Linked DNA regions of Astyanax mexicanus. The protein of the gene in region 1 interacts with the protein of each later gene in a biochemical or structural test. Links are inferred from orthologs where the notes say so. Each region holds a gene or a part of one and is shown in the gene's direction. Other genes may lie near its edges.

The links.
Region 2: of the proteins of bmp1a (region 1) and chrd, one has a biochemical effect on the other in vitro, tested with the Homo sapiens proteins (3 studies listed by BioGRID and IntAct). The link is inferred for Astyanax mexicanus from reciprocal best matches to the Homo sapiens genes BMP1 and CHRD.

What each region holds. Positions count from the first base shown.
Region 1 is NC_064419.1:26,973,375-26,990,167, reverse strand, and holds the start of bmp1a (bone morphogenetic protein 1a), read left to right. Parts: upstream 1-9,888; 5' UTR 9,889-10,112; coding exon 10,113-10,254; intron 10,255-16,793. UniProt on the Homo sapiens protein: Metalloprotease that plays key roles in regulating the formation of the extracellular matrix (ECM) via processing of various precursor proteins into mature functional enzymes or structural proteins.
Region 2 is NC_064425.1:10,789,184-10,806,154, reverse strand, and holds the start of chrd (chordin), read left to right. Parts: upstream 1-8,430; 5' UTR 8,431-8,680; coding exon 8,681-8,816; intron 8,817-9,923; coding exon 9,924-10,027; intron 10,028-10,146; coding exon 10,147-10,273; intron 10,274-11,290; coding exon 11,291-11,431; intron 11,432-11,558; coding exon 11,559-11,676; intron 11,677-12,486; coding exon 12,487-12,574; intron 12,575-13,145; coding exon 13,146-13,287; intron 13,288-13,874; coding exon 13,875-14,012; intron 14,013-14,110; coding exon 14,111-14,193; intron 14,194-14,461; coding exon 14,462-14,609; intron 14,610-16,037; coding exon 16,038-16,144; intron 16,145-16,464; coding exon 16,465-16,750; intron 16,751-16,894; coding exon 16,895-16,971. UniProt on the Homo sapiens protein: Dorsalizing factor. Key developmental protein that dorsalizes early vertebrate embryonic tissues by binding to ventralizing TGF-beta family bone morphogenetic proteins (BMPs) and sequestering them in latent complexes.

The sequences.
Region 1 (16,793 bases):
CTAGCACTGCAGGAGCAGTTAGCCACTAATGCTAATGCTCCAGCCTAGTAGTGCTGGAGAAATTCGGGAATCCAAGCTTACTGTAAATTAACGAAAGTGCTTTACTCACCCAAATAAACAGTTTTCAAAAGTTTGACTGAAAGTCTTTTTATTACAGTTTTGTTTACTTAGCTTAGCTTTACTTAACTTATTTAGCTATCCCTCACCACCACCCAGCGGCGAGACCTGCTGAATTAGAAGTTCCTTATAGTGTATAATCCGGTGCGTTTTACAAAAGAAAACAGACCAGAAAATAGACGTTTATTGACAGTGTGCCTTATAGTGTAAAAAATATGGTATGTGGCGTCACCACAAGAACTGGTTACCCTGCGTTCACACTGACATCACATGGTTAAAACCTTAGAATAGCTAACTGCCAATTGTGTCCCAACTTTTCTGTTCAAGTGAATCTTACAATGCGATGTGGGCGAGAGCTAATTTCAGGCAGAGTAAACGTTGAAACAACATGCTGTTTTGTGCAGCTCCTGCTCCGATGACTCACAACATGGAGACAAAACAGCGAAGCAAGCAGCTGGACCCTGCTTACACTCAATCTGTGCTTTTAAAGACTGGGTACGGAAGACACAGTTCTTCTCTCAGGCTGTCTGGAGTGGAACTGAAGACTGTATTTAAGGGATGAGCTGGTTATATATGGCTTTAAATGAAAGCTGAGGTCGCAGGTCAGGCTACAGGCCGGGGACACCGTCTGTCCAAATGCAGTAGACATCAAGGTCCTTATTTACGTTCAGTAATAGTGCTAATACTGGATCAGATCCACCCTGGGCCTACAGCATTACTGTTTCATTAGGATAGAGAGGACAGAAAATGATCTTAGAAACAGCTCACGTTACTGCTACTGTTCTTTAACCACAATTTAAATGATTTCAGCCTCTCAATGCCATAATGTATAATGTATAAGACATCATTAAGTGTATTTACAGGAATTTCATGGTGGATCATATTCTGAGGGGGAGCTTTTTGAGACACCTTTGCACCAAACTTACTCTGTTTACATCTTAATCATTGAATTTAGTAGAACATACACAGTTAAAAAAATAAGCCTTGTTTTCCTTAATGGGATTTTTAAATCAGCTGAACAAAAAAACATTAAATTGCACTGTAAACTATAGCAAACCAATTGCAAGTTGCCTTAAAATTTAAAAAGTGGAGAGTTTTCTCCACTTTGACAGTGTATGAAAACATATTTAAAGGGTTTTCACTTTAAGGACATAGGCTGTGTTCGAGTTTTAGAGCAGATCTGTTTGAGTTTAGGTATGCTGGGATATTGGTCTGTCCTTGGCAACACGCTGCAGACATAATCACTTTCAGACCAGGTCTACAGGTCACGTCTCATTCGGTTGAGGTCACTGCGGGACTTAACCTTTGAACTTTTCACCCTGATGAGATAACAGGACCAGCGTGGCCTCAGAGCGGCTGAGGTAATGAAGACTCGGCTAATAAAACACCCTGCCTGTCTGACACCACTGTGATCATGCTTTTAATGCCACGTATCAAGATCTAATTCCAGTGAGCAACAGCAAAACGAAATTCACATCATAAATGATTACACAGGGGTTCAATGACCTGATCAATATTTGTACAAGTGTGTAAATAGTGCAGAGGTTGGTAAAAATGTGACTTGTAATATGTATTCAGACTCATTATATAACATATAGAATCATTTACTTGCTTCAGTTTATTATAACACACATTGACTTCCATTTAAAATGTAAAAACTATAAAAAAATATTTTAAAAAATTACCCTCACTTCTGTAATTTTTTTTTAATTCAGTGATTTGTGACAGTGATAATGATATGGATGGCACAAACTGAGCATTAAATTTCTCCTACATTTTCTCCCAAAGTTGGAAGGACATTTATAATCCACATCTCCATAAAAGTTGTCAGCAGAGGAAAGCAAAAAGTGCTGTAAAATCTTGACTTGATATAACACAGTGGACCAACACCAGCAGATGACATGGCTTTTCAAACCACTGATTGTGGAAATTTCACACTAGACCTCAAGCAGCTTGAACTGTGTGTCTCCCCACTTTTCCTACAGACTCTTGTCCCTTAATTTACAAATTGAATGCAAGTTTTACTGATGATGAGTGATGGTTTGGAGAGTCATGTTATCTGCTGCTGTTGGTCCACTGTGTTATATCAAGTCTAAAGTCAGTGCAGTGTTTCCCACAAAATCTTACAGCACTTCATGCTTCCCTTTGCTGACAACTTTTATGGAGATGCAGATTTCATTTTCCAGCAGGACCTGGCACACTGCCCACACTGCCAAAAGTATCAATTGGTCTTATATAATATTTCAATTTTCTGAGATAATTTTCTGAGAAACTGTATCTAGTGGTATCATGGCCTCAAAATCAACACAAATTGAGTCTGCACCATTTTTTCAGCTTTAATGATACTTCTACAACACAAGGTACCACATGCTCATGAATAAAAATGTGAACAAAAATAAAAGAGGTTGCTTTGGGGCACCCAAATGCTTTGAGAAGGCCCTGACCACACATCAACAGTAGAAAAGCTTCAGTATTATAGTTTTAGTACTTCTATCTGTGTCTTATTAATCCAGAAACATGCATTGTATTGTCCAACTTCTATCTGTGGATATGTTTTCATAGTGTTTGGATAAAAACAGGACATATTTTGGTTGGATTCTCCAATACACTGCTAATGTCTGTCATATCATTTGTTCTAAACTCTTTAGTTAACTGTACTTTTTGGGAATGTTTTTAAATAGTGTTAAAATAATGAAATGCTGGAATGCCACCAACTTGTTATGTCAATCCCAGCTCTGACATCTGAATTGTGAGCTAAACAGAAAGCAGCTGGAAGCGGTTTGGCAAAGTGGATCTCTTTGAAATTTGTGTAATTTCACAAGTTTACTATGATTCAGAGTTAAGCTGATTCAGAAAATTACTAGAAATGTATACAAACAGCAACTGCTTAACTACTACATTCAGTCGGATGTTGTCTACAATTTATATAACTGACAATATACTCTCTAAATAACGGTAAATAAATACTTAAGTGCAATTAAAGACAGTACAATAAATTGCTTATATTGGGCTTAAACCATTTAAACATAGTGTCTGTCAACCTCCTTTCTGTTGTATTTGGCCCACTGTAGGACTAGAGGTAGGTGAATTTGACTCATTATATTACATTACATTACATTACGTTTAGTGGATACTTTCAATCACAGCGACTTACAAATAATGATATACATTAGCAATAGAGGACATCGAAGTTCAAGACAAAAATATTTTTAGGAAAATAATGGGTTAGAGTAGGAAAGGAGGGGAAGAACTGAAATGGGGTTAGAAGTAGTTAGTGTGTTAGAGGTGTTAGTAGAGTAAGTGCTCTTTGAAGAGCTCTGTCTTCAGGACTTTGTAAAATGTAGCGAGGGATTTTGCTGATCTGGTACTGGAAGGTAGTTTGTTCCACCGTTGGGAAACTCTGTATGAGACTCGTCGTCAGCTTGGTATATGTAAACTGCAAAAAACTACAGATACAAATACAATTAAGTTATTCTCAACATATTATACAAAAATACTGAGAACATTACATATGTCAATGCCATATTTTTCCCTAGAGGAAGTGACAACAGTGGTTGAGGTTAATTTATTTATTTAAACTTTTTAGACTAGGTACAAAGAAAATTAACCCAACCATGTGCAGTTTAATGGTTGAATCAGGAGCTGAATACATTCAATAATGGGTGTGTGGGAGTTATTTAGGTCATATTTTACATAAAGATCTGGCCTATAATATATATATATAAATTAGTCAAAACTGATTTAATAAGGTTTAAACCATTTTTATTTTTGTAAAAAGAAGAGAATAATACGGTTTGTCTCTGAGAAGAAAAGATATAGGCCTAAAAGATGATCCACATTAACTATAAAGAGTAGGAATTAGTGCTTTGTTTGCACATGTCGATGTTATGTGAGAATACAGAACATGTTGTGCAATTCACAAGCTCACATCACTCCTTCTAGCCCGAGCACTCCGTAAAAGAGCATCGACTTCGGACGCATACAGACTAATTTCACACAGCATCGCAGCATCGATTAATGCTATGAACACAAAGCTGTAGCTATGCGCTCAGATAGTGTACAAGAACATCAATATCACACACTCCGGCAGATCTGTCAGCGGATCAATAGGGGTCTACTATTGCTCTGCATACTAATCACCCTGGTGGCACTCTAACGATACTCATACATTAAAAAGTGCTCAAGAAAGTGAGCAGAATATCTGCTGGTTTTGGGGTGTGGCGCCACATTATGCATTCTATTCAGGCCCAGTTTAGCATTGACTTTGTGTGCCTCTTCTCATTGTTTGCCAAATTGTACACGAATACAATTTTTCTAGAGAATACAATTTCTCTGGTAACATGCTTCTCTTAGGGAAAGCCTTCATTAAAGTTCATTAAACTACTAAACATGATTGTTCATGGGGTCTGTAATATAAAGCACTATCAGCTGTGTGTTACTAAGTTTCTAACTATAAAACAAAACAAACAAAAAAATATTTTTATGCTAAGTTCCTCTTCTCATGATGTCCATTTACAACATTTATGCCAGATTGTGTTGAGTTTATGTGCCAGAACTAATTTTACATCATAAATCATGAATCCCAAAAAACTTTGGTATGTAAATTAGCTTTTGTCTGATTGGTTGCAGTGAACTTTACCTTTTTCAAAAACAGGTCAGGCTAAAACCCTCTTTTTATCCTGCTACAGTGCCTTGCAAAAGTATTCGCCCCCCTTGACCTTTTCAACCTTTTGCCACATTTCAGTCCTCAAACATAAAGATATGAAATTGTATTTTTTTTTTTGGAAAGAATCAACAACAAGTGGGCCACAATCGCAAAGTGGAACGAAATATATTGGATATTTTAAACTTTTTTTTAGAAAAAAAAAAAACTTGCGTTAAAACGTTGTAGTGCCACCTTTTGCATTTGTGAACAGCAGTTTTCAGCTTTTTCCACAGATTCTCGATTGGATTCAGGTATGGACTTTCACAAAAAATTACAATTCCATATCTTTAGGTTTAAAGCCTGAAATGTGAAATGTGAAAAGTTCAAGGGGGCTGAATACTTTTGCAAGGCACTGTATAAACTGGGTTATAGGCTGAGTAGGTGTGTATATGTAAATATGTAAATATATGTAAATTACTTGTTTATGATAAATACAGGATGTTCCAAATAGAGCTGCCTTTGCATAGGTTACAGTATGTCTTTAGCCCTATCTGGATGGGATTAGTCTCTCAGGGGGATGGCTGTGAAAAATATTTCACAATTCTACTCAGTAATAAAACTATTGCATCTGGACTGCAACTGAAAAAAAAGGAGGACGAGTGACTTGTTTGGCTTTGTCGGTCACATGACATCAGTAGCTTCTCCATTTCCACTGTTGTGTTTAAGTGAATCTCCGTGGAAACATGCACCATGGCAGTGGAAAATTTTATTAAAGGAGAGGTGACGAAACTCTGAGATATGACCACAATGTTCAGTGAAAAACAGTAGGTAATTCTGCCTGTAATTTTCTCAGAAGACGTCTGAGGAAAACACATACATGGTTGTTCTGGACGGGAGTTTCACTCGTTACCCACTGGGGTTCCCCAGGGTTCGGTACTGGGACCTCTTCTCTTCTCAATATACACCACCTCTCTAGGTCGGGTTATCCGCTCACATGGTTTTTCCTACCACTGCTTTGCTGACGACACTCAGCTATACCTGTCGTTCTCACCAGATGATCACTCAATCTCTGCACGAATATCACAGTGTCTCTCAGACATATCCGCATGGATGAAGGAACATCACCTCCAACTAAACCTCTCAAAGACTGAACTTCTGGTCATACCAGCAAAACCTTCTATTCAACACAACTTTGCCATAACCATCGACTCTCTCTCTCTCTCACCGACAAAGGTTGCTAGGAACCTGGGTGTCATGGTTGATGACCAGCTTCTCTTCACGCACCATGTGGCCTCAGTTGCTCGATCCTGCCGCTTTGCGCTTTACAACATCGGAAAAATTTGACCGTTTCTGACGCAACAGGCCACCCAACTCCTGGTACAAGCTGTGGTAATCTCACGCCTCGACTACTGCAATGCCGTACTAACTGGCCTCCCGGCCTGTGTAGTAAAACCACTACAGATGATTCAGAATGCAGCAGCACGTTTGGTCTTCAACCAACCAAAACGGGCACATGTCACTCCGCTGCTCATTGAGCTCCACTGGCTACCGGTTGCTGCTCGCATCAAATACAAAGTGCTTACAATCACCTACAAGGTGATGACAGTACAGGCTCCTTCCTACCTGCACTCGCTCCTGAAGGCTTACGCTACCTCCCGGCCGCTGCGCTCCTCCAATGAACGTCGCCTCGCTTTGCCAAACACTCACACAAAGCAATCCATACTGTTCTCATACAGAGTTCCCCAATGGTGGAACAAACTACCTTCTACTACCAGATCAGGAGAATCTCTCGCTATCTTTAAGAAACTCCTGAAGACAGAGCTCTTCAAAGAGCACTTACTCTCCTAACACCTCTAACAAACTAACTAATTCTAACCTCATCTCCTTCTTCCTCTTCTCTACTCCTCTATCCCATTATTTCCCTCTGACCTCCTTAAGGCCCTATCTATAGATGCTTTATTTTTAACTTCTATTATTTTTGTACTTAACCTCTTCTATTATTTGCACTTCAATATTGTAAGTCGCTTTGGACAAAAGCGTCTGCCAAATGTAATGTAATGTAATGTAAATGATCTTTAATTTAGTGTCAGAATTTCAACATTAAATCAAAATGCCTATTAGACAATGTTATATAAAGGGTGTTTTTTCCATCATCCACCTTAAAAGATGTAACTCAACCAAAAAATGTGTGTTTATTTAATATTATTTGCTATCAGAGAACAGTCATCCACCTTAAGGTGGATAATCCTATAATAAAATAAACCTAACAAAAACACTTCGATATTTAAATGAAAATGTCCTCCACTATACAAGTAACTACAGCTCTGGAAAAAAGACAAGAGACTTAAAAATGAAGAGTTACCTTAATTTTACCAAATTAAAAACCTCTGGAATATAATTAAGAGGAAGATAGATGATCACAAGCCATCAAAGCAAGCTGAACTGCTTGAATTTTTGCACCAGGAGTGGCATAAAGTTATCCAAAAAGTGTGAGACTGGTGGAGGAGAACATGCCAAGATGCATGAAAACTGTGAAATAAAAACCAGGGTTATTCCACCAAATATTGATTTATATTGAAATATTGAACTCTTACCGGAAAGAAAACAAATTCCTTTTTGTTATTTTAGCCATTTCTCATTTTCTGCAAATAATTGCTCTAAATGACAATATTTTTATTTGGGATTTGGGAGAAATGTTGTTCGTAGTTTATAGAATCAAACAACAATGTTCATTTTACTTAAACATCTACCTATAAATAGTAAAATCCGAGAAACTGGTTCAAAAACGGTGGTCTCTAAATTCAGAATTCAGGCGGCAGGTCTCTGAACTTGGATAAACAAACAGTACTGGGTAAAGTGAGAGGTAGATCAGCGCGAATCTGCGCAGCGGGTCACGAGCTCAGTCACAGTTGTTTAAATTACTGCGCGCGCTTCCCGCGCTGACCGTTAACCGTCAATTCACTTCAGAGACTTCTCCTCGGTGAGGAGCTTCACATCAGGGGTTTCAGGTAGCTAAAAACGCTAGAGCTAGCTATGCAGGTTGTAATTTAACTTTAAAAGTTATATCTTAATAACTCTTGCGGGCTGAATATGTCATTTTATTGTTTATTTTTTGAGGAAATTCGTTGTTTTCTTCCAACTGTTTATGTTAACCTAGTTGGCTAGTCAGGTTAGCTAACAAACATTTAACGATAACCAAGCCGTATCCTTTAAATAAATGTTACTGCATGATATAATTAACTGCTATCAGAGTAATTCTTTTCTATTTAAGAATAGACAATGTTTTTTGGGGGTATGAAAGGTTAAATAAGTTAAACACACACAATGTGTGGACTGGCCGATACTCTCTCTCTCTCTCTCTCATTTATATATAAGTTATATGAGAGCAAGCAAATGTCTGTCTACTGAGATTCTCTCTGGCAGCTTCTATATGTAAAGATGTACAGTCTTCATTAAAAGAGTAATTTGATTGATCACATTCATTTGGCCTCCCAGGACTTATAAATATGTACAGTGAAAAAGTATTTGCTCCCTTAAAGAGTTCTTTTATTTTTGCATTTTTGTCATACTTACATTTTTCAAATTATCAAACTATATATATATAATATTAGATAATATAAATATCTAATATAATATATAATAAAATATATTATAACCTGAGTAAATATAAAAAAGCACTTTTTAAATTATGATTTCATTTATTAAGGGAAAAAACTATTAAAACCAATATAGGTCTTCATAAAAAAAGTGTTCGCCCCCCATTAATTAACTGTCATTAATCACACTTTTTGGATAGCTAAGTTTAATTTCATTAGCCGCCAGACATGTAGAATCAAGAAATCACTTAAATAGAAATTGTCTGACAACATGAAGCAGCGAAAAGATCTCAAAATGCAATACATTATAAATGAAGTTCAAACACAAATGAGAAAACAAAGTCATTGACATCTTTCAATCTGAAAAAGGTTACAAAGTCATTTCCAAGGCTTTGGGACTCCAGTGGATAGGTATTATTCACAAATGAACACAACATGGAACACTATTGAACCTTTTCAGGTGTGGCCGGTCGACCAAAATGATTCCAAAAAGGCATGGACTATGCATCCAGGAGGTCACAAAAGAAGCGAGAACAACATTTAAAGAAATGCAGATTTCACTGGCCTCAGTTAAGGTCAGCGTTAATGATCCAATAATAAGAAAAATGTCCAAGGCAAATAAAATTCAGAGCAAAAAACACTGCTGAACAAAAAGAACACAACAGCCCATTTCACATTTGCCAAACAACATCTTAATTATCCCCAGGAATTTGGGTAAATATCCTTTGGGCTGACGTGACAGTTTTTGGACGGTGTGTGTCCTGTTACATCTGGCGTAAACTTACACATAATTTTAGAAGAAGAACATCAAACTGAATGTAAAACTAGTGGTGATAGTGTGATGGTCTGGGACTGGTTTGCTGCTTCAGGGCCTGGACAACTTCCTGTAATGGTTAGAACCAGAAATTCTGCTTTTTACCGGACAATACTGAAGAAGATTGAGATGCTGTGGCATGATCTTAAAGTGGGCCAAAATTCCTCCACAGAGATGTGAAAGACTCATTGCTAGTTATTAGTAAAGCCTGATAGCAGTTGTTGCTGCCAAGGTTGGCACAACCAAGTTATTAGTTTTTTCATTTAATAAATAAAATGATCCTTTAAAAAGTGATTTTTTTATATTTACATTCATCGTTGTCTGATATTAACATATGTTTCATAATCTGTATGACAAAAATACAAAAGCAAAAGGAATCTGTAGGGGGAAAATACTTTATTTTCTTTATACTTTATTGTATACCAAAACATCCAATTTAAAGTTGGATAAATAAATAACATGATAAAGTGAAATAAACAACTAAACTACCAGAAACATTTGAACTGACGTTAACTTAATTGGTAACGTTTTAACTAAAGATACATTACAGGCATACATAAATCATATTTGATTGTTCATCCACCTTAAATACAGTTCATCCAGAGTTTATCATTATGTAGGTGAGGTTAAAGAGATTGTGTGTGTGTGTGAGGCTCGTCTGGTTGACCCCTGCCTCTGATCCCTCTCCTGTCCTCCGCAGGTCACGTCACTGCAGCCGCGGAGCCCCTGAGCTCGAGCAGGATCTTCAGGCAGAGAGAGGAGAGAAGCGGAGAGGAGGCAGAGTCGTGCTGTTAGAACCCGCCCTCCCCGCGGATCTCATTTCCCCCCCTAAAACCAATCCCCCTCCTTCTCTCCTCCTCCTCCTCCGCCTCCCTCTCCCTCAGCTCTCAGTCCTCCACTCTCTCCCCCGCGCCGTGTGTCCCACTCTGTCGGCTGAATCATGGATCTCGCCGCGAGCTGCGCGCTGCTGCTTCTGTTCTCCGCCCTGCGCGTGCTGCTCAGCGTCGAGCTGGACGCGCTCGAGCCCACTTACTACGAGGAGCCACCGGATGCCATCGACTACAAAGACCCGTGTAAAGCAGGTGAGAGCTGCTGAGCGAACGGTGCTCTTTTTGCTTGCTCTCTCAATGTCTCTCTCTCTCGCTCGCTGTCTCTCCCCTCTCTCTACCTCCTCCTCCGCCGTGCACAGCCACGTAAATCTGGAGCGAGGAGTGAGTGCTAACTTTAATGCTTTTACTGACAGGCTGTAAAATCGCAGCTCGACTCGCTACTTTTTTTGTTTTGTGTGCTTATCTGTGTTGGCTTGACTTGGTACGGTGCACCTAGCGCGTGCAACAAAACAACAAAGACAGTCAGTGCAAAAAAGCAAGCGAACAAACACATATCGATCGTGAAAGTTCACTTTTCTTGCTCCGGCTGCTGCTGCTGTTGTTATTGTTGTCGAGGTTGTTGTTGTCATGTGCAAATACAGTACAACACAGCGTCGACTTTGTGCAACCGTCTTAAGCAACAAATAAAACTTTAAAAAGCTTTAACGCAGTGACGTTGCACGTTGTTGTTGTTTGTTTATTGTTGTTGTGGTGGCGACTGCGCTGCTTTGCATGATTTTGCAATGCAAATGCCACTTTTCTCCTGCATTCCGGCTCTTTAAGTTTGTGCAGATGGGCTTTCCTGCTTGAGGTGCTTGACGTCACATTTGGACTGTGAAGCATAAGTTTTGTCAGTTTTGTCAACCCTCAGAACTAGTCTAATGTTTGTAGTTATTGAAATGGTTTTTGTTGTTTTTTTAAGCTGTCCAATTGTTTCAAGACTAACTTTTGGGGATAAGTCTGTGTCCACTGTAAGGAAATGAGGTGGTGTGTTTTGCTGTCATATGATCTACAGTTATATTTGGGGAGGGTTTTTCAGAATTTAAAACTGTAAAAATTAGGCTGGCCTTAAAGGGGAGCTTCTCTAATTTCTGTTCTATTAAATAGTTAAGATTAGAGTGCATGTTGTTATCGCGATAAAGTGATAAATCTGAACAAAGAACCAAGTTTTCTCCAGGGACTATTTTGCTGTACAACACCCAGAGTTAACTCCTCCACAATTAAAACCTTAAATAAATAAAACATTTGGGCACTTACTTTTTTATTCTCTAATCTGTCATAAATCAGTGTCTCAGGCATCAGGCAGTGTATTCATAACAGCTTAATTTCATGTGATGTAGTTTAATTAATGTAATGTAGCTTTTAGAGGCCTTCTCTTCCCCATCACTGTAAACAACCCTGATTTGGGAAGTTTCTTTAAAACTTTGTCTGTCTCTATACGCCTCCCTTGCTCTTTCTGACAGGGCTGCTCAGGAGACGAGTGAAGTCTCCTAGACCTCCATCTCTATTAACTCCTCTCCTCTCCTCCTCCCACCCCTCGTTCCCTCCCTCCCTCTCTTTCATCCTGCTCTTTTTCACTCTTTCAAGGCCTGGCTTTCTCCCGTGTCCTAATTTGCAGCTGAAAGGAGCTCTTGGCTGTTCATTTTTACATTTTCACCCCTTGAGAAAGGCACAGTCCCCCTACAAGTGGCTCAGGGACAATAATCGCAGCCCACCGGCTCGTATTGGTATTCCGAGCAGGTTACCCTGGTTGACCTGCTGATGCTCTGGTGTTGCTGATCTTTCATGCATTAACTTTGAGGATAGCTGCCTTTATGTATTATTTTAGAAAGAATAATGAGATAGAAGGTGTCCAAAAACTTTTGCCAACGATATAATGTGAGAAATCTTTTTAGACTAAATTTTACTGGAAGTTAAGCAGTTTTCTTATGTTGTTTTAATTACAGTATCACTGTGATCGTGTGCTGCTAATTGGGACATTTCTTGTGTGTTAGTGAAAAAATAGGTGTGTGCTTGGAGCCCTTTAGCGCCAGACACGATTAACGTCATTGTTTCGTAAAAGAGATAAACACGTTTCCAGACACTGCAGCAAGTGAGTCAGGAAGACCTCTTTGACGTTAAACTCGTAGTATGAGCAGTTTCTCACAGCTGCTGCTCTTCTGACCTGTTCTCTTTTCCAGTGTAAACAAACAAGTCCTTGCGGAGCATCACTTTCAAACAGCTTCACTCCTTACATCATCAGGTCTGTCCAGGCCTCTATTACCGGTTAGTAGCTCTACAAGATTTAGATAGATGACACATGCAAGGGGTAGGGAGCCCTGAATTTCACAGCTGAGGGAGCTCTAGAGCAGCCAGACCCCAGTGGGCCAGTAAATGTCAGCCATAAGGGATTTCAAATGTGGCCCAATTCTTTTACTATGTTTCAAACCAACAAAGCAAACAGAGAATTAGGGAATAACAGGCCTCTTGGGTGGCTGTGTTGGAATATGAAGTTATTACAGCCTTTTATCTGTACTGTTCCGTGGGGCTGATGGGGAAGAAGGGCAGGGTTTGGCTTCCTATAGAGGTTCAAGTGTATTTTCTGTGCAATATGTAAAGTAAAGGTGGACTTGATGTCTAGCTTTAGGAGAAACCTTTAATTGGGGCAGGACATTTACATTTTCCGAATGTTTTCTAACCGTAAAGAAATTTGTGAAATCTATCAATTTAATTATCAAATAACTAACTATTTTAATGGCGTATGTAGTTCTTTGCTTCCACACTTTTTGGTGTTTTTTTATTTATTAGCGTAACAGACTTTAGAATGAGGTCCTGAACACAGATGCTGTGTTTATACACTGCTCAGGGGTTAGTGAACTGTTCTCTTTCTCCTGTTTGTTGTACAGCCTTATTGATCTGTTTATGCAATAATGTTCCTGCAGTTTTAGGAAAAACGAGGACTTGTTTTTTTGGCATTGGAACTCAATTTTAAGACTTTATGTGAGATTCAAATGTAATCTTGCTTTTGTAAATCTGTTAATAAAAAATGTTAATACTTTACTCATCATGTGTAGTTTACATACTGTTTTTTTACAATGATGATGAAAGGAACCGGGGTTGCGATGCTCACAGATTATTCAGATCTGCTTTATTTGTTTAGCCTCTTCCTGCGCGGTCCTAAAGATGGTTGCTGTTTTCCGTGATTATCTTTCTCGGACACGGATCATGTGCCCAGCGACTTTGTGAGGCAAATGCATTTACACTGCTATAACCTGGTTTAAATGCTTCTCAGAGAACTTCCTGAAGTGGTTTAAGTGACTGGCTCTGTTTAAACTTGCATTTTCATGTGGCTTGGCCTTATACATATATAATTCTACATATGGTGTATTACTGTAACTGTACAGTGGATGGCCAATTAATATTGGTTTATATTGAGGCTCCAACGATTTACTGGTATTGGTGAAAGCCCTGCAGACACAGCAACATATATTAAGACATTTTATATGGAGAACTGACACCTAATGGGTGACATTTTTTCACAGACTGTGCTCAGATGGACTTTACTTTTACCATAACAGTAGTAGAGAGTTAAATTATTTCCATCTGTTAAACTGATAGAGCTGACGAGAGCTATGCTATTAACGTTATAAAGAAGACAGCCGGTCTTCATCTGTTCCACAGATGTCCCCACAGTGGCTTGTCTTCAAGTTTGCTTTAATGCTCCAGACAGCACAGATACACTTATATGCAATACTTACTGTCCCTTAAACTGTGCCAGTTCTTACAGACTGGCACAAACTGTACTCATCTCCCCCAAACACACACACCGACAAACTCAAACACACACAGACACACTTTCCTTGCGTGGTTTCAATAACAGAGAGAGGAAAAGACTCTTTGACCTGAATCCCTGTTGCAGCACTCACCCAGAATGTGGTTCTTCAGTCTTGTGTTCTTCCAGATGCTCAGAAAACCACACGGGGCCTGTGCCATGCATGCAGACCTAGTGATATCACACAATCCCACAGTCCTCTCTGTCTGCCAGAGTGGCAATGCAACTAGTGAGAGAAGAACTGTTAAAACGATATTCCAACAGTTTTTGTTAGTGAGCAACAACTTGCCTGAGATGTTCATGGACTTCCAGTATTGAATCAGGATTAAATTTGACCACAAAAAGATTTTATTGTGAGAACCATGGATCAGGATATCAACAATACAAACAGCCATTTTAGTAACTATCTGAAATGGCTATTGAATGTTTCTAAAAACATTCAGCATACAGTAATTATTTTACCTTGTAGTTGTGGCTTGAAAGGCTCCCATCCTTAAAAAACACATCGCCACTTAGCATTCAGTTGAGGTTCTCCTCCCCATGACAAACTAAGAAAGACTACCACACCATTTTGTTTAACATGGTTCAAATGCAGGATGGCTAAGTGCTATAATGAAGTACATTTATATTGAGCACACAGCAAGTTGTAATAATAGCAAGCATATGTTTGTGTCTGTTTTTTATTCATTCTTACAATATCATGGAAAAGTGTTTTGTTCTTCATTAAATTTGTTAGAGCTGTTTGTGTATGCAAACAATTTAGACAGACTTCGGAAGGGTAAAATACATTAAGAACTGTTGAAGCCCGTTTACACCCTTCAGTTTTGCTGTGCTATCCTCCTGCTGATGTGTTAGAGTCTACAGACAGAGAGAGGAACAGTGCGTGCCAGAGAGCGTGAGCAAGAGAGCGAGGGAAGCTAATATGATTAAATAGTAAAGTAAGCATGGCTTTTTTCTATGCTGAATTCCATTATGTCATTCTCAGGAGAACTGCATTCACCAAATAAAACCATTGTCTTCTTTGTGCTTGTGTGTGTGCGTGTGAGAGAGGCTGTGAGTGTGTGCTCATATATGGGCAGATAAGGAGGGCTAGGAGATAAAGATGTTAAAGAATGCTAAACGCAGCTCAAATGTTGAACCTTAATTACAGTCTAATCAAAGCTGCACAGTTTGGGGTGGAATCCAGAGCTTTTGTTTAGTTTAAAAACCCTCATCTCCACTTCTTAAGACTGAGGCTGTATTTCGTGACATCTTGTTCGTTTCGAAGCTTGAAAGCAGCTGAGGAACACTTTAAAGACAGGACAGGATAATTAGCTCTTGTAAAGTCACTGAAAAATGGAAGTTAGTTGCTGTTTGACTGTGTTATAAACTTTCTAAATGGAGTGGAAAAGTGTAGCTTTTTGTCTGAGAGTTGGAGGTGGGTTGGGGGTTGGTTGGTGCTGACATTTAGCTATAATTGAGGCTAAATGTCACAGCACCAAAAGTGTCCCTACACTCAGTGTGAGTACAATGCTAGATTTTGAAGCTAGCTTTGGGACACCTGGTCAAATGTCATGCTCAACTTCAACAATTTCAGAGCAGATTTTTAAAAAGGTTTTTTTTGTTTAATTTAATATATGTTTTCAAAAAGGTGGATACACTTGTAACTTTATACGGCTTTAATAGAAATTAATTGTACAACATTTTATCAAATAAACAACAGTAGGCCACAGTTACATTAGCGTAAATGGTAAAGTAACACAGAAAGCTCTAGCTTTGTTGGATTAAAGTGATTGCATTTTCACCTAAAGCAAATATACCTCCATTTCTAGCCACTGTGAAATGTGTTTCACCCCCCGTGGTCAATTGGTGCCATGTTTGAATGATGATATATTGAAACAACACAGAATAATTGATTAACAGAAACTTTAAAGTAGTTGCTTTACACTTAGTTTGAAATGGTGCTCAACACGCTTTAGCACAAAAGCAATTATTTGCCTCTGCTGGTCAAACAGAATGTATATATTCCACCAAAAAATTACCTGACCTGGGCAGTAATGCTAAGACTAAGTGCTGATCACATCTGATAACAAATTGCCACAGAAACTAATGATCCAAAACATGAATGTTGTAGGTGTTTTATTCTGCACTTACTGAAGTCCTGCAAACATCTACCATGGATGAGATGTTTTGTCCATCACTTGTAGTATGCTATGTTACGGGTGTAATGTAGTGTCAAACTGAAATCATTTATTTTCCTCACAGTGTTAATGTTGAGTTTAATGTTGTTTGATTGAATTTGAGCACAACTTTCTATTTTATGGCTCAAGTAACTTTGAGTGTTTTTCTTTGGTCTGGTCCTGACGAGTGTGCTGATGGATTTAAAGTTGGCTACTCGCTAGTCATTTTAGCTTGTTTTACCCATCAGATGTTTGTGTCTGCAGAATGTAGGTCTGATTCACTCTAGGGAGATATAATGACTTCCATGGCCCAGTGCTTCCGCAAGGCTTTTCCTGTTTGACTTTGGGTGTTTGTTTTTTTTTGGTTGGGGGGGGGGGGGGGTTGATGAATTCTACAGAATATATTTGATTGTAAACATGAATTGGAAGTATCATTGCAGTTTGCAGTGGTAAAGATGATACCATTTTTATGTTGATAACTATTTTGATTATCTGTATTTTGTCTGATATTTCTTTTTGAAGCACCTCTGAGCTTTAAAATGGACTGAAGCTTTTCCAAAAGGGTTCCAGGTGGTTCTACTATTTCCTGTGCTGATACGAACTTGACATGAGTCAAGTGAAACATGATTTGTGATATATCACAATGTCATTGAACTAGATTTACAGCTAGATTTAAAAACTATGTCAAGTACATCAAGTCTAGGCCATAAAGCTAGGTAGTCTTCATCTGGATACATCTGGATTTCTAAAAACCAAATGTCTAAACCCTGCAGAAGAAAACA
Region 2 (16,971 bases), on another chromosome or scaffold:
ACCACCTTTTTGACTCATCTAAACCTTCATGCAGGTGCTTGCCAGTAATGTGGGACTTTTTCTTGGTTTTCCAGATCTCATCTTGACTTGGGTAAATCTTCTCTGTCTTCTTATACTTTGTCTTTTTTAGATTTTCACACAGTAGCCAAGAAAAGCTTCAAAACACAGTTCATCATGCTGTAATGCACAATTCTAAGTTAAAGCTGGATCATATCAGAAAAAGCCATGTGTCAAAACCATTCAGAAACACAACCGCCACTGTCACAGTGCAAAATATGCAAGAGCATTTCACAGACAGGTTCAAACAACTGGTCTCAAATTATCAAAAATTTACAGAATTGGAAAAATAAGGGATAATTCAGTGGGGATAATTCACCTACCTCAATGTACTTTACTAAACCTCACCACACCTCGCTGTTGACTTAAACACTTATTATTCATTTTACAGTTAAGACTACAGCTAATACATAACTTATAACTTAAATTTAATTTATTTTTGTAGTAAAGTATTGTCTGCATAGACAGTAGTAAGTAAGATATAAATATAAATAAACTATATGTGCATATTATACATATATTTTGTAAAACTCAGTGTTGGTGCTTTTATTTTTTATTGTAATTTGTTGTTATTTTTGTAATTGAGAGATATTGGGAGGGAGAGAGAGAGAGAGAGAGAGAGAGAGAGAGAGAGAGACTGAGGTTTTCAGATTGAGATATTGAGAGATTGAGATATTGAGAGATTAAGAGATTGAAATGTTGAGATTGAGATATTGAGAAATTAATAGATTGAAATATTGACAGATTGAAATATTAAGAGATTGAAATATTAGGAGATTGGGAGACTGAAATCTTAAGAGATTGAGATATTGAGAGACTTAGATATTGAGATATTGCGATACTGAGATATTGACAGATTAAAAAATTAAGAGATTGACATATTAGGAAATTAAGATATTGAGAAACTGAAATAGTACGAGATTGCGATATTGAAAGATTGAGATATTGAGGGACTGAGATATTAAAAGGTTGAGATATTGAGAGCCTGAGATATTGAGAGATTGAAATATTGACAGATTGAAATATTAAGAGATTTAAACATTAAGAGATTGAGATATTGAGAGACTGAAATATTGACAAAATAAAATATTAATAAGTATATTAAAAGAAATACTGACAGATTTAAATCTGAGAGAGAGAGAGAGAGAGAGAGAGAGACTGGGTGTGAGGGGAAGTAACTATTATTGCAATACACAAAAGGCAACCTTCATTATAGGACCATAATTGGGGTCAATTTTCCTCACTCTCGCCCCCCCCTCCCTTTCTCCCTCACCCTATACCGCTTCCACCCCGCTTCCTTAATGAATCGCGGAGCAGCCAGCCCATAATAACCCGGTTAGCACCTCGTGATTAAATGCTAACAGGCCATTATTGATTCTCACCCGCGTTACCGAGCGCATCCTCGCGCTAAACTGTTAACTCATTTCGGAAACGCTAATACACACACTTACTCACACACTCTCACCCGCTCACTCTCACTCAAACTCTCACACACACCAGGGTTAGTTTCTCTAACTTAGTAGGGCGTTTTCAACACCTCCTGTGCGCCTGTTACAAGGTATCTACCCTTACAGCAAAGAACATTGAATTAACGTGCGTGTTTTTTTGCTACATCGCTTTTAATAAGGTTGATGATTGAAACACAACCTTTTTTCAACCTTTATTCAACATCACCAAATAGGCATCACCAGGTAATGTTGAAATTCTGACGTTGAATCAACTTTCATTTAAAGGATTTGAGTGATTGGGCTAAGCATTTTTTATAATTATTATTTATTTGTCCTTATATACACCGCAAGGCCAACACAGTGCAAAACTAAATCGAATAGAATAGAAAAAAAGATATACATATGTTGGTAATGTTGGTAAAGTTCTATACAAGAAAATACATTCAAATGTCTGAGATCAACGTTGATTGATCATCATTTTGCTACCTGGATAGTTAGCTACATTAGTTAAAGAGCTAAGCGTTTAGCGTTTACATATTTAATGTCCCTAAAACAAAAAACATTGAAGAAACGTTCCTTGTTTTTTTGATGCATTACAACTTGTAAGGTTGATGATGGAAAAACAACATTTAAACAACCTTCATCATTTGATATTGCCTAACAGGAATCATAGGTCAATGTTGGAATTCTAACATTTAATCTATGTTTATGTAAAGATTTTGAATGGTTGGGCTGGGCTCTAAATCTACACTTACATAAATGTTTTAGGGTTTTAGTTTTTATTAATTATTTAGCTAAATGTCGCTAAATACACTGCAAGACCACACAGTACAGGCTATAATAATAGAATATTTAATGTAAGTAAAGTTTATTACAAACCACACGCATGAAACAATACCGATGGGCACATATAAATCAATTCTAAGTCGGAGATCAAAGTTGTTCAAATGCATTAGCGATTAAAACGTAAACGTTGGTTCAGCATCATCGTGCTTTTAAATGGCTTTAAAGGCTCGAAAGATAAGGCATGTAAAAAACAACGTAAAACGTTTTCTCAATCCTGAACATTCTCCCCAAGGTAACCCAAAGTATATTGTGGTGTGGGAATAAAGTCTGGTCCGTCTCGCATGTCGATTAACATCGTTAAGGTGCTGTTAAACCGTTTGTTCGCCGACATTAGCAGCTCTTCTGGGTGCAAGAAGTCAGTAAGAGGCCGTGAGAAAACTACCCCATTGAATACCCCCTTTCAGACCACCCTAAAAGCCCCCCATTCACGCCACCACGCGCCCAGTGGCACACCCAATTTCCTCCACATTTCCTCAGCGCTAATCTGTATTAATGGATATTAATAGGAAATTAACGCCATTTCTGCTTTCCTTTGTTAACTAGGCCATGGATACCAGTTCCTCTCACCTTCTCTCTCTCTTACATTCTCTCACTCTATGTCTATGTCTCTCCATCAATCTCTATTGCTTCCCTCAGATTTATTTAAAGAAACCCAGACAACACAAGAACTATGTTAAATCAACGTTTATTTTTAATGCATTCAAACAAGGTTGATCTCCGACGACAGAATTTATTTCTTTGTGCACAAAGATTTTACATTGATTTAAAATTATGGTACAATAATATGAAAGATGTATATACATTTTGCCATCAGTAAGTCATAAACAAACCAGAAGGTTTTATACTTTGGATTATTCTAAGTACCGCATTTATCTTTGAGGACATATCTGCATACTTTTGGTATTTTAATCTAAGTGTCTTCATGAGGAAGAGTCATCTGGAATAGTTTTCTCAGCATCTTGAAGGTGTTTCTGGAGGTGCTGAACAACAGTTGCTGCTTTCCTTCACGCTGTGAAGCTCCAGCTCATCCAAATCACCTCAAATCACCATCTCAGTTCATCAGGTTTAGATCAGGGGATTAATGTGGAGGACTAATACATTTTTTTTCTGTTTACTATGTAATTCCATATGTATCCCTTAATTGTTTTTATCTTGAATATTAATCTAAATGCATAAATTAAATTAAAAAAATCAAGAAAAAAGTTTAACTCTACTGTACGGTTTGTATAAAACTTGTATAAAAATCACACATTAAATATGTCCTGATTGTATTCTATTCGTATAGCCTGCATTGTGTTGTTCTTAGAGTGTAGTAAGGGATTTTTAACTAAATAATAATGATTAATATTTGCTAATATTATTATATGTGAAAAGCACGTTTTACCTAAACGCATTAACTAATTTGAAAGCAGATTCAGAGCAGATTCAACCAAATCATTTAAAACCTTTAAATGAACATTGATTCAATGTCCGAATTTCATTAACATCAACAGATGATGCAGCATCAACAAACAATGTTTAAAAAAAGGGTGAATAAAAGATGTGTAAAGGTTGTTCTTTTTTCCATCATCAACATTACAAGATGTGTTGCAACCAAAAGAAAGAATGAACGTTTGCTCAACGTTCTTCAGTTTTGGGAAGCCTCAGTCTCAGAAGAAAACCCCACTCCACTCATCCACTCACTCTCCCCGCACTCTTTGTAGTTTTACCTCCTACAGGTAGAGAACAAGCTCGTCTTTTCTATTTTCTCTTTTCTCTTTCCAATTCACCCCACCTGCCCCCTCCCCACCCCAGTCAGTGTTCTATTGCCCGTTTCCTCTCTCTTGTGCCCCCATTCTGCCCTCTTTAGCATGTGCATGGTGAGCGGGGTGGAGGTCCGGAATGAGGCGCTCCCTCCGCCCGAGCTCCCCGGGTCTTTATTACGCTGTTATTTTTATTTTATGGTTCTATTACCCCGTTAGTCCGACCTTATTTACCCCTCTCTCACTCTCTTCCTGAGCGGGAAATTGCCGCCCCCACCCGCAGAGAGAAACCCACACTGAAACCAGGCAACACGATATAACCCCCCATCAGTTAAATAATAACTTTTATTATTATTATTATTATTATTATTATTATTATTATTATTATTATTATTATTATTATTATTATTATTTGAGACTGACTGAAATAACATAAAATTAAATTAAGATAATAAGGATAATAAAATATAGATATATAATAAGATTTATTTTAGAAATTATTATTTAGTACTTAACTAAGCAATTAAATACTTAACTAAACGCCATTTAAATCAATAAAATGCTAAAATGTAGCAAATCTAAACTTTTTAAAACTACCAATTAAAATTGTTAAAAGAAATCGAATTAAGGTTTTGAAGAAATGAATTTTAAAAATAGACAAACCAGAATTAGCTAAATATATCATGGACATATATTTACCAATGGTAAAATAAAAAATAGTTAAAAGCTATTTTACAAAAAATAAAATGCAGAATATGTATTTATTTCATTTAAAGTAGAATTATGTTTAAAGTAGAATACATTTATTAAAATGACTATTGAAAAAAATAAAATGTATACAAAAAAAATAAATGAAAACATAATAAAAAAATAACACAATGATTAAAACAAATTAATTACAATATTTTTTAAACATAAAGGTGTTATGGTAAAAAAAAAGCAAATAAGCTGATATATTTAACAAAACGTATTATGTTTATCTAATTGATTAGATAAATAGTAAATATACAAAGCAAAAAATTTAAATAGTAGAATTAAATGGCATTGAAAGCAACTAACAAAACGCTATAATCATTAGGAAGGAAATTAAAATAACTCATAAATGAAAGGAGAACAAAAGACAAAGGAGCGAAATGAAAGAGAGGGAAACTGTTCGTTGATGTTCTGATTGATGTCCGAAAGTCATTTTGCGGCTCTTTAATGAGTTCACATTATGATGTGATTGATCTAAATCGGTTTGCGTTTGGATGTTAAAGTCGCAGTTATTTAAAACATTGACCGGTTCTTTGTTCTGGGTTAATAATCAACTCTTAAAGACAATATTAAAGGATAAAAGATTCTGATGAGCCCTTTTATCATCACAGGGTCACAGGTGTTTTTTAGTTTTATTTTTAAAAAGGCGCTTCTAAGGTTCCTTTCGGAATAAAAATCAAATAGCAGTCGGGTTTTAGCGGTAATGCGTTGAAAGAATACCGCATTATTATTTTATCGGTTTAAACGGAAGGCAATCTGTACCGAAGTATCGCTTTGGGTTCGTTAGGTTCGTCCCAGAGCTCTGGGGGTCTCTGAGAAGATCTCTGAGGTGTGTTTTTACAGTTAGAGCTGACTGATGAGGAGCGAGGAGGGTCCAGACCTGCGGTGTGAAGATCCAGGTTTAGAGAACAGCAGTAAATATGACTGAGTGTCTGCTGGGAAAGTGTCCTAAAACAGGAGGGGGGGAAAGAGGGAGTTAGAGGGGTGGATGGAGGGATGCCAGTGGGGGGGGGGATGAGTGTGAGGTGCTTCTGGATTTTGGAGGTATTCAAACCATCTTTATTTGTTTCTGCTAAATCACTTGAAGTGTCTTACAGAGTGTAAGGCCTAAATAAACATCCAGGACACACACACACACCAGCGCATGTATTCCTGCCTTTGTGGGACAGCACATTCCACATTAGCCACCTGAAATCCAAGGATGCTGTTGTAGTTATGCTATAACTAGCCTATACACATTAAAGCCCAATGATGCTATCAAACACACATATACAGTACCAGCCAAAAGTTTTAGAACACCCCTATTCATCCCCATCTTCAGGTCCAGTCAGTTTGTTACAGAAAATGGTAAAAAAAAAATCCAGTGTAGAAAAAAAGTAAAAAAAAAAATAAAATAAAAAAATTAATTTTGTTTTGTATAAAAATGGATATTGTAAATGTATACTTTACAAAAACTTTAGCAAACAATGCATTGGTTAACAGCATACGAATTAGAGTTCTGACAAGTGAAGTGAAGTATTAAAATCATTGATAAGATAAACTAAGATAAAACAACTTGTCTGGGTCTTAAAAAAGTGCTTAAAAGTGAACACACAGATAAGTTTAAACGCTGCCTTAGCTTCATAAAGTACCATGTATTCATACCTTTATGGGACATTTCCTGTAGATGCTAACCGATAAAGACAATTCAAATCCTATAATTAGCTAATACACCTTAAACTCTAGAGATGCTAACACTGCTAACACACATACACAAATAAACACACACATATGTGTGCAAATGTATTCAGCATGTATTCATATCTTTATGGGATATTTCCTGTAAATGTTACCTGCCAAATGCAATGTCAGTGACACCATTAGCTAATACACCACAAAGCCTAGTAATGCTAACACACAAACACACAGATAAGTGTGTTAATACTTCCTAAATGTCTCACAGTAGCATGTATTCATAGCTTTATGGGACATTTCCTAATGCTAACTCCTAAACACAATGCCAATGTGAGACAGAATTAGCCTACACACACTAAAGCCAAGCTCTCTCTTTCTGGTTAGCACATAGCTAGTGTGTGTATTACTGTATTTGAGGGTATTTCCATGTGCTAACTACATTCCAACACAGCTGTTAGCCAAATTTACCCTACACAGACTAAAGCCTAAAGGTGGCTAGTGTGTATTTCTGTCTTTGTTGGACAGTTTCATATGCTAACCATAAGTCAGCATCACTTTAACTAAATTAGCATGCAGGATAGATGGAACACACTGCTAACCTGACTCTAGACTGAACACACACACACATATTGGAATGTATTTCTGTCTTTGTGGGCCATTTCCTTATGCTAACTGCACATCAACACCACTGTTAGCCAAACAAAGACAGGAATACACACTTATGTGTGTTTGTGTATATATGTATGTATGTATATATGTGGAATTGGGTTAGATATGTAGCACAACAGCATTCACACATATGTGCTTACCTTAACTTCACACACACAAACACACATTAGTGTGTATTTCTGAAATTCTGGGCCATTTCCTTGTACTGAATGCATGCAAATGTGCAAATGCCACTGTCAGCCGAACAAAGACAAACAAAGGAATACACACATATCTGTGTGTAAAATCAGGTTGATTCTGTAACCCTGTCACCCTTTTACCACTGTTTTATTATTTAGTCCCCACAAAGAGATAAAAACACACAGACATGATCTTTTCCTATGGTATTCTAATTTAGGGATAATTCCACACAGTCTTTTCTGTGTATTTGTATTTCTATTTTAGTTGGGTTCTTCTGTATGAGGAGGTGCTGCACCTAGCTAACCCAATCCTCATCTCAACCTCCCCCTCCATCTCCCTCTCTTTCTCTCTCTCTCTCTCTCTCTGTGATGCTAACACACAAACACACACCAGTGTGTATTCCTATCTTTATGGGACATTTCCTTATGCTAACAGCATAGCAATTAGCCTAGAGATGCTAAAACAAAAATTGCACAGATGTGAGTGTGTGTAAAAGGTGTTATGCTAACAATTCTAAATATATATATATATATATATATATATATATATATATATATATATATATATATATATATATATATATATATATATATATATATATGTAACGCACAAACACACATACATTTGCTTATGTGTTTGTGTATTCCTACCTTTATATGGCATTTCCTTATGCCAATAACTGTATAGTCAGTTTAGACTCTTTTTTAAATGATGATATAATGATATATAAAATACACAGGTCCCCACAATGTCAACCTATACAGATTTCTACTATGAGGTCCCCACAAAGTGATAAATACTTAAGGCTTAATATGGTACTTGCATTGCAATTTTTAATTACTATTTATTTTAACATTTATTAATTTTTTAACCTGTCTTAACCTATCAAACACACACTTACACATAAACACACACTTAAACTACACACATTCACACCACAGGTAAACCCACGCCCCCCGGTCCAGACCGCCCCCCCCCCTCTCCCCCCACTCCCGTTTCCCCTCCCCTCTCGTTTCGCCCGTGTATAAAACCGACAGGCGCTCGCGCAGAGTTATCACAACTCTCAACTCAGACTAACACACACATACACACTCTCTTACACACTGCACTCTCACAAACTCTCCTCCAGCTTTACTGAGGCAGACGCCGCTTCTCACGATACATCAGCTGGACTTCTGCTGCTGCTGCTGCTGGATCTACACGAAGAGACGGACTTACTGAAAACACAAAGATAAAAACAGAGGGAAGAAAAGGACGAGTGCGCTTCTATTCCTTCGCTTCTTCTCCTCCTTCTTTATCTCCACCTCGAGGATGGATGTCCTGCCGCTGCTTGCCGCGGTGTGTGTGTTATTCAGCCCGCACACACTCGCACTCGCTTCCCGAGCCAAGGCGCCTGCGCTTCCCATCCAGTCCGAGAGAGAACCGCTGCCTTCCAAAGGAGTGTCCGGTACGGCAATGTCTGTGTGTGTTCGTGTGTGTATGTTTAGTATTTAGCACATTGTGGGGACCTGAAACTATCTGAGGTCCCCAGAATGTTGCAAAACCATGTGATATAATGATAAATTCATTTTAAGTAAGGAATGACTTAGATGCAGCACAACATTTCTACATATCTATTAATTGGATTTACTATACCCCACAAAAGTATAAATGTAAACACAAAGACTGTGATGCCAGTCAATAAGTTAGTTTTATTATGTTGGAGTAAAAGTGAGTGGGTAAAGATAGTGTTGTTTTTTTAGTAAGGGTTTAAGTTTAACTTTATAAGGAACTGCATTTAAGCAAATAGAATTGGAATTGTCTCACAAAGATAGGAATACAAACAGAACCGTCTATATGTATGTGTGTGTTTTAGCATCACTGAGTTTGAGTGTGTGTCCTAATTCAATCAAATACTGGCCCTGACAAGTCTCCAGTTTCAGCTCTGGAGGTCAGTCTCTCCCTGACCCGCTCCTGGACGTCTCTCTCTCTCTATCTTTCTATGAGTCTGTTAGTTGTAGCTGAGGGGCTTTCTGACACCATTCCAGATGCCTGTAACCACACACACTAACACACACACACACACACACACACACACACATCCCCTCCAGCCGTCTCTAATCTCTTCCAAATCTTACTTTTTGTCATTTTAATCAAACCAGTCAGAAAACATTTTAGTCATACCCTTGTTCGTTTTAACCCCCTCTTTCCCCTTGTACAAAAGCCTATACACACTTAAGTTCCCACAAAGAGATAAAAACCAAAAAATGAAAACACACACAGACATTATCTTTTTGCATGGAATTCCAATACAGGGATAATTTCACATAGTCTTTTTCTTGTGCTTGTATTTCTATCTTAGTGGGGTTCTTCTCTAGGAGGCTGTGCTGCACCTACTTATCCCACTCTTTACTTCAACTCTTTACTCTTTCAAATCTGTATATTGAACTTCCAGATGCGGAAAGTCACAATTTATAGTAGGCCTGTATGAAATGATGAAATGATCATTGTTCCTCAATATAATACTCTCTCTCTCTCTCTCTCTCTCTCTCTCTCTCTTTCTCTTATTGTGCAGGATGCTCGTTTGGTGGGAGGTTTTACTCTCTGGAGGATATGTGGCATCCGGATCTCGGAGATCCTTTCGGTGTGATGCACTGTGTGATGTGTCACTGCGAACCAGTAAGTCCCACTTATGCACCTCACTGTTGATTTTATCTCCTGATAAACAGAAAGTAGTTCCGGCAGGTTAGAGTCCTGATACTAATGAATTAATATACTCTGTGTGTGTGTGTGAGCAGCAGAGGAGCCGACGTGGGAAGGTGTTTGGGAAAGTCAGCTGCAAGAACATAAAGCAGGACTGCCCCGAGCCCAGCTGTGACGACCCCGTCCTGCTGCCGGGACACTGCTGCAAAACATGCCCTAAAGGTACCCAACACACACCCTCTCACTTAGAAATATATATATATATATATATATATATATATATATATATATATATATATATATATATATATATATATACACAGTGTATACTCTAAAACACACCCATACACACACCTGCAAACATGCACCCTCGCAAACTTTCCCTTACACACACACACACACACACACCTGAGTAATTGTATGTTTTCCTTCAGCTGGTGAAACTGAATGAATGGAAAGAGAGTGGAGTGTTTGGGAGGCCCTGACACACACAGTGTTTATGTTTCTGTGGGAAAGTGTGTGTATGTGTGTGTGTGTGTTTGCGTGAGCCTGTTGGAAAATCCCTGGCTGTAGCTTGAGATGGATAGATGGATGGATGGATGGATGGATGGATGGATGGATGGATGAAGGAGTAAATGAAAGATGGATGGAGTGCTATAATTTCTGAAAGTGCTTTCACACACTCACATACTCGTTTATATATTCACCCCAGACCACAAGACCACCTGCATTCGTTTCTGTTTTTAATGAACGAATGGGTAGAAATGGTGAAAGAGCACTCTTTCATTGCAGTGATTTCTATTACATATTTTTCTGCACCTCATCCAATTAAACATTATATTTAATATCCTCAATATATCCTCGATATGGCATAATCTGAAAACACTTTCTTGAGGAATGCACCCAGAGAAATGATCCAAAGTTACCTGAAATAAACTCTTTTTTTACATTGACTTTCACTGGAGGTTAAGACTTTTTTTGAGATTTTAATTGGACAGCGTTGATATCATGATTTTATCATTATAAGATACAGTATCATTATATTGCCCAGCTCTACAATATCATATATCCAGCATCCAATACCCAATAATATAGTATTAACCACACACACACAGTGTTAGACAGTACTGTTCATCATCATTATTATCATCATTTAAGCAGCTAATAAAGGACTGTATTGTGTATTGATGAGCTGATTGAGTGTGGAGTCTGATTGATGTTGTGTGTGTTTGATGGCAGGTGATTCAGACAGGAAAGCCACAGAGTCTCTGTTTGACGGCTTCGAGTTCTTCCAGGAGAAAGAGGACGACCTTCACAAATCTTACAACGACCGGTCCTACCTCAGCTCCGAGCAGATGAACACCGGAGACAGCAAGACAGGTCAGACAGACAGACAGAAACAGATATATACACACCGATATACATGGACTTAGACTTTATACAGCTTCCCATATCTTTAATTCAGTGTTTCACTGTGTTTTAATCTCTTTTTCTCTTGTTTCTGTAGATTTCGTGGCCTTGCTGACGGGTGTGACGGACCTGTGGCTGCCCAGTTCCAGCGGAGTCGCCCGCGCTCGCTTCACACTCACCAAAACCAGCCTGGCTTTTTCCATTACCTACCAGAGGTAGCTAACATACACACACAACCAACCAACCAACCAACCAACCACATATACACAAACACACAAACCTCACACATAGTCATAGTTTTTCACAGATATGAAATAATGAATAGCTAATATTCTGGTGTGGAGCAGTGGATAACACCACTACCTGCTAGTGAGCTACCACATAATGAAGGAGACTGGGGTTAAATTTCCAGTCTGGGTGACTGAATGCTGTGCTTCACCATAAGAGTGCCATAATGGCAAAATGATATAAAATGTAATAAATGTAAAATATTCTGATACAGTATATAGTATACTCTATTAGAATATAGTATACACCATAATACTTAGAAAACCATTAACTCTTTATGACACATTTTTGCCCTCAAGAATCATACAATAACATACCTATTTCTAATGTATTTATTTATTAGTTTATTTATTTTAAAATAATCTTATGTATGTTTACGTCTAATACAATGAGATAAAATCATAAATAAAAATATGCATGCATGTTTAGGTATCTATGTGCTAGAATATGTAAAGAAGTACAGAAGTACTGGTGTTTGGCTGTTTATTGGCTTATTATTATGGTTGCGTTATAAAAAGTTCAAATGAAAAAATATATTTGATTTAGATTTATATTTCCTCCTGAAAAATATATAATAATGCTATAGCGGGTTAAATTATACATTTACTATACAATTCACATTTGTTACTGATGTTTTATGAAAGCAAGTACTTTAATACATTGTAATAGGCACTGTAAGAGTACAAAAGTTATATATAGGAAAATATATAAACTTTATTCTGTTATTGTCATTTCAGGATTAACAGGCCAAGCACTATCTTGTTTCTGGACTCCGAGGGAAACACAGCTTTCGAGTTCAGAGTTCCTCATGCAGAGTCAGAAATGGTAAGGAAAGAACGCTTCAGTGTGTGTGTATATGTGTGTGTGTATAATGGTGTAAATCTCCTCCCAATGCTTTCACAGTATAATTCCTATGCTATCCAAACACAGCCAGCAGCACAGTGTGCGTTTCAGTGTGTGTTTCAGTGTGTGTGTTTCAGTCTGTGTGTGTGTGTTTCTAGATGTTTGTGTCATGAGGTCAGTGGCATTGGGAATGCTAAAGCTAACGTTAGCACCGGCGCTAAAGAGCAGCCGAATCGCCGGCTCCCTGAGTTACGAAGTGTTTGCGCCACTAAATATTTGTTTAAGCGTTCCTGTTCAGACACAAATCGCCAGAGAGGCTCTTCTGGAGATGACAAATATGCTCACACACACACTAATATGCACACACTAACACACACACACATACACACACTAATTCACACTCACTGTTGTTGAACAAGTATCCATAAAAGGCAGTTTAGCAGCAACTTAGCTAGTTTAGCTTCAACTTCTTCTTAAGCTATGAGCTTAATATTATTCAGTACTTCAGTACCTATACTGAATGTTTATATGCTGTGTGTGTGTTTGTGTGTAGATTTGCGGTGTTTGGAGGAACCTGCCCAAGTCCCACATGCGGCAACTGCAGGAGGAGCAGCTCCGGGTCTCCATTGTAGCCACGGATGGAAGGAGGGAGGAGATCCAGGGGAAGATCATCAAACACAGAGCACTGTTTGCAGGTACAGAACTGGCCTTATTGTTGAGATGTTTGGTCATCCATTGTTTCTGTTGCTAAAATCAAGGGAATTTCAATGCTTTAGTTGGATAACTTTAGTTTTTTTTTTATCCCAATCCTAAGATTTTTTGATGGAGCACCATCCATCCATCCATTCATCCGTCCATCCATTCATCAAGCTCCACAGTTTAAAAGCTCAATGCTGGGAAGCTTTCTACTTATCTAGCCAACATTTTCATTAATCTACAGAGATTGGATATAGGGCTGCAATTAATGATTATTTTGGTAGTCGACTAATCTGATTGGTCAATTAGTCAAAGATTATTTCTTGCTTGTCTTTCATTTCTAAAAGATGTTGTTTAAACATCACCCATTACCCATCTCCCATGGGTAACAAATTAACGATTAGTTGACAGTGAAATCTGTAGTTCCAACAATTTCAATAATCAACATTAATTATATGGATTTTATATCTAATCGTTTCAGCCCTAATTAACTATAGTGTGTCATCAACAGTTAAACATACATTGTTTTTTTTTTTTTGCTTAACTACACATTAGCAGTAAAATTGTTGGGTAACTCTTCTTGCAGAAACGTTTAGCGCCACTCTGACGTCGGACGAGGAAAACTCCGGAATGGGAGGAATCGCCATGCTGACGTTGAGCGACACCGAAAACAACTTGCACTTTATCCTGCTCATGCAGGGAATCATTCCACCTACGGAGAAAGGTGAGTCTCACACACATACTGTACACACACAAAGCATCTGCTTTCTTTTGGTTGATTTATATTTATATTAATATCTGTTACCTGCATTTCTCCTTTAGCGTCTCCTCTGGTGCCGATCCGAGTGAAGCTGCAGTATCGCCAGCATTCCCTCAGAGAGATACACGCCAATGTTACGGCTCAAGTGAGTACACAAACACACACACACACTCATACACACATCCCATCTTCCTCTGTAAATCTCAGACTCTTTGTTCCCTCACCAACTTTCTTGGCTCTCCTGAAAAAATATATATATAAAAGTGTGTGTGGGTGGGCGAGTTTGAGTTTTAGTGTGAGTCTTTCTTTCTGTTAGTTTTCCGTCGGCCCTCAGAATTCCAGACGATCTATAGAGCTTGACACACGTGTGTACATACGTTCTAATCTTCTGTGTGTGTCTGTGTGTGTTCTAGGACCCCGACTTTGCTGAGGTCCTGACCGATCTGAACAGCCGTGAGCTCTTCTGGCTCTCTCGGGGGCAGCTGCAGATCGTTGTGGAGACCGAGGGTCACAACGCCCACCGCATCTCCGGCTACATCACTGGGAGGAAGTCATGTGACAGTAAGTGTCCAGCAGCCATGCAGTCAGTGAACCAGTCAGTCTGGAATCTAGTCAGTCAGGCAATCAACCAGAGAGTTATTAAGCAGTCAACCAGTCAACCAGTCAGTCTAGCAGTCATTGAACCAGTCAGTCAGGCAATCAAGCCAGGCAGGCAGTCAACCAGCCATTCAGTCAGTCAACCAGTCAGTCTAGCAGTCAGTCAACCAGACAATCAGGCAACTAGTCAGACAGGCAGTCAACCAGTCACTCAGTCAAGCATTCATTAAGTAGTCAGGCAGTCAACCAGGGGTTCAGTCAGTCCACCAGTCAGGCAGTCAACCAAGCAAGCAGTCAGCCAGTCACTCCATCAGTCCCCCAGCCAGTCTGTCAACCCATTGTAACAGTGTGTATAGTCTGATGTGAATCCCTGAGGCGGACCCTTCTGCTCCAACAAATCGGGGGTTGAAAAGTTGAGGGCGAAGAGTTGAAGGCTGCAGGTCTCTGCTGTCGTAAATTTCCTGTCAGGTTGCTGTAATTACTGCGTCTGTTCCACAAAAAACCCAAGCACTTTCTCATGTGTGTTTGTGCATCCTGCCCCTGCATACACACACACACACACACACACACACACATATTCACATTCACATACACACACACATACACACACATATACACACACATATACACACACACATACACTGGCAGGTTCTGCCAAGGTCGCAGGCTGCTGGCCCTCTTCTCTCTGCACTGTTCCAAGCTCGTGATTAACAACCTGACGTTATGAGGGGAGAATTCAAACAAAACCTCTCTCTCTCTCTCTCGCTCTCTCTCCATTACTTTTTTTACTTTATTTCTCTCTCTCTCTTTATATTTGCTTTCTCTCTCTCTTTTTCTTCCTCTCTCTAATTGCTCTGTTTTCTGAGTTTATGTCTTTTTCTGTTCTTTCGCTCTGTGTACTCCCTGTCCTCCCTGTTTACTCGCTCCTCATTCTCTTCTGCTCCCCATTCTCTCTCTCTCCCTGTCCCATAATTCTCTGGGGCTGACATCATCCTGACCGCGGCGGCTGACCCTAGATGAGTTAATCGGTGTTTGATTGCTTTTCCTTGGCTCGGGCCGGCTTCGTTCTTATGACGGGACATGGAAGAATGCCCCGAGCAGGAAAAAGAGAAGCTCTGGATTAGGGGGTGCATTGCCTCATCTCGCATGCAAGCACGTCGTCCTTCACTGTTGTCACTCACTCGCTTGCTCGCTCGCACACATACAAGGTTTCGGCTTGGGGGTTTTATGGGAAACTTTTGTGAGAGACTTAACGTTTCTTTTTTCTTTCTTTCTTTCTTTCTTTCTTTCTTTCTTTCTTTCTTTCTTTCTTTCTTTCTTTCTCTCTCTCTCTCTCTCTCTCTCTCTCTCTCTCTCTCTCTCTCTCTCTCTCTCTCTTTCTGTCTCTCTCAGCTCTCCAGAGCGTGATGTCCAGCGGCGATGCTTTGACTCCTCTTAAAACTGGAGCTGTCGGATCAGCCGTCTTCAGTCTTCATGACAATGGCACACTGGACTACCAGGTATGAAAGTTCTTCAATTATCTGAATGGATGGCCTTAGTGCCCCCTACCTGTACTTTAGTTTACTACAATCTGTCAGAATGACTGTTTAAACCTTATAGAGGATAGTCATTCGGTAATCCAATCACTCAACCAAGTCGTTCAGAAAGTCCCAGAAAGTACCCAATCAGAAAGTCAACCAATCAATCAGTCAGTCAACCTGTTGATCAATTAACCAGTCAGTGAGTCAGAAAATCTCATTGAGAGTCATTCAGTCAGTTGGTTAGCCAATCAGAAAACCATTTTGGGTCCTTTCCAAACCACCTTTCCCTCTCTCTTCAGGTCCAGGTATCTGGTGTCTCCAGCACCGTGGTTGGTGTGACGATCGAGATGAAACCACGCAGAAGAAGCAAGCGCAGCGTTCTCTACGACGTGACCGAAAACTTCGCAGCTGCAGCAGGGGGCGGTCGTGCAGTGGGCAGCTATGGGCGAATGGAGGCCAGACACATCCACATGCTGCTGCAGAACGAGCTGTTCATTAATGTGGCCACGGCAGAGCACAGCGAGGGGGAGCTGAGGGGGCAGATCAGGACTCTGCTGTACAGCGGCCTGGACTCTCGCACACATGGTGAGATTATGAGAATATATACTGTATTATATACTGTACATACTGTAAAAGTTCTATTTTGGTATCTAGTATAAAACAATGAGTAATATACTATAGTGATTATAAATAGCTAATCCTGATCTTCTCATGGCTGTTTCTCTCCAGAGCTTCCATTCTCTCTGGCCGGTCAGTTTGTTTCTCCACCGGTACGGACCAGCGCTGGCGGTCACGCCTGGGTCTCA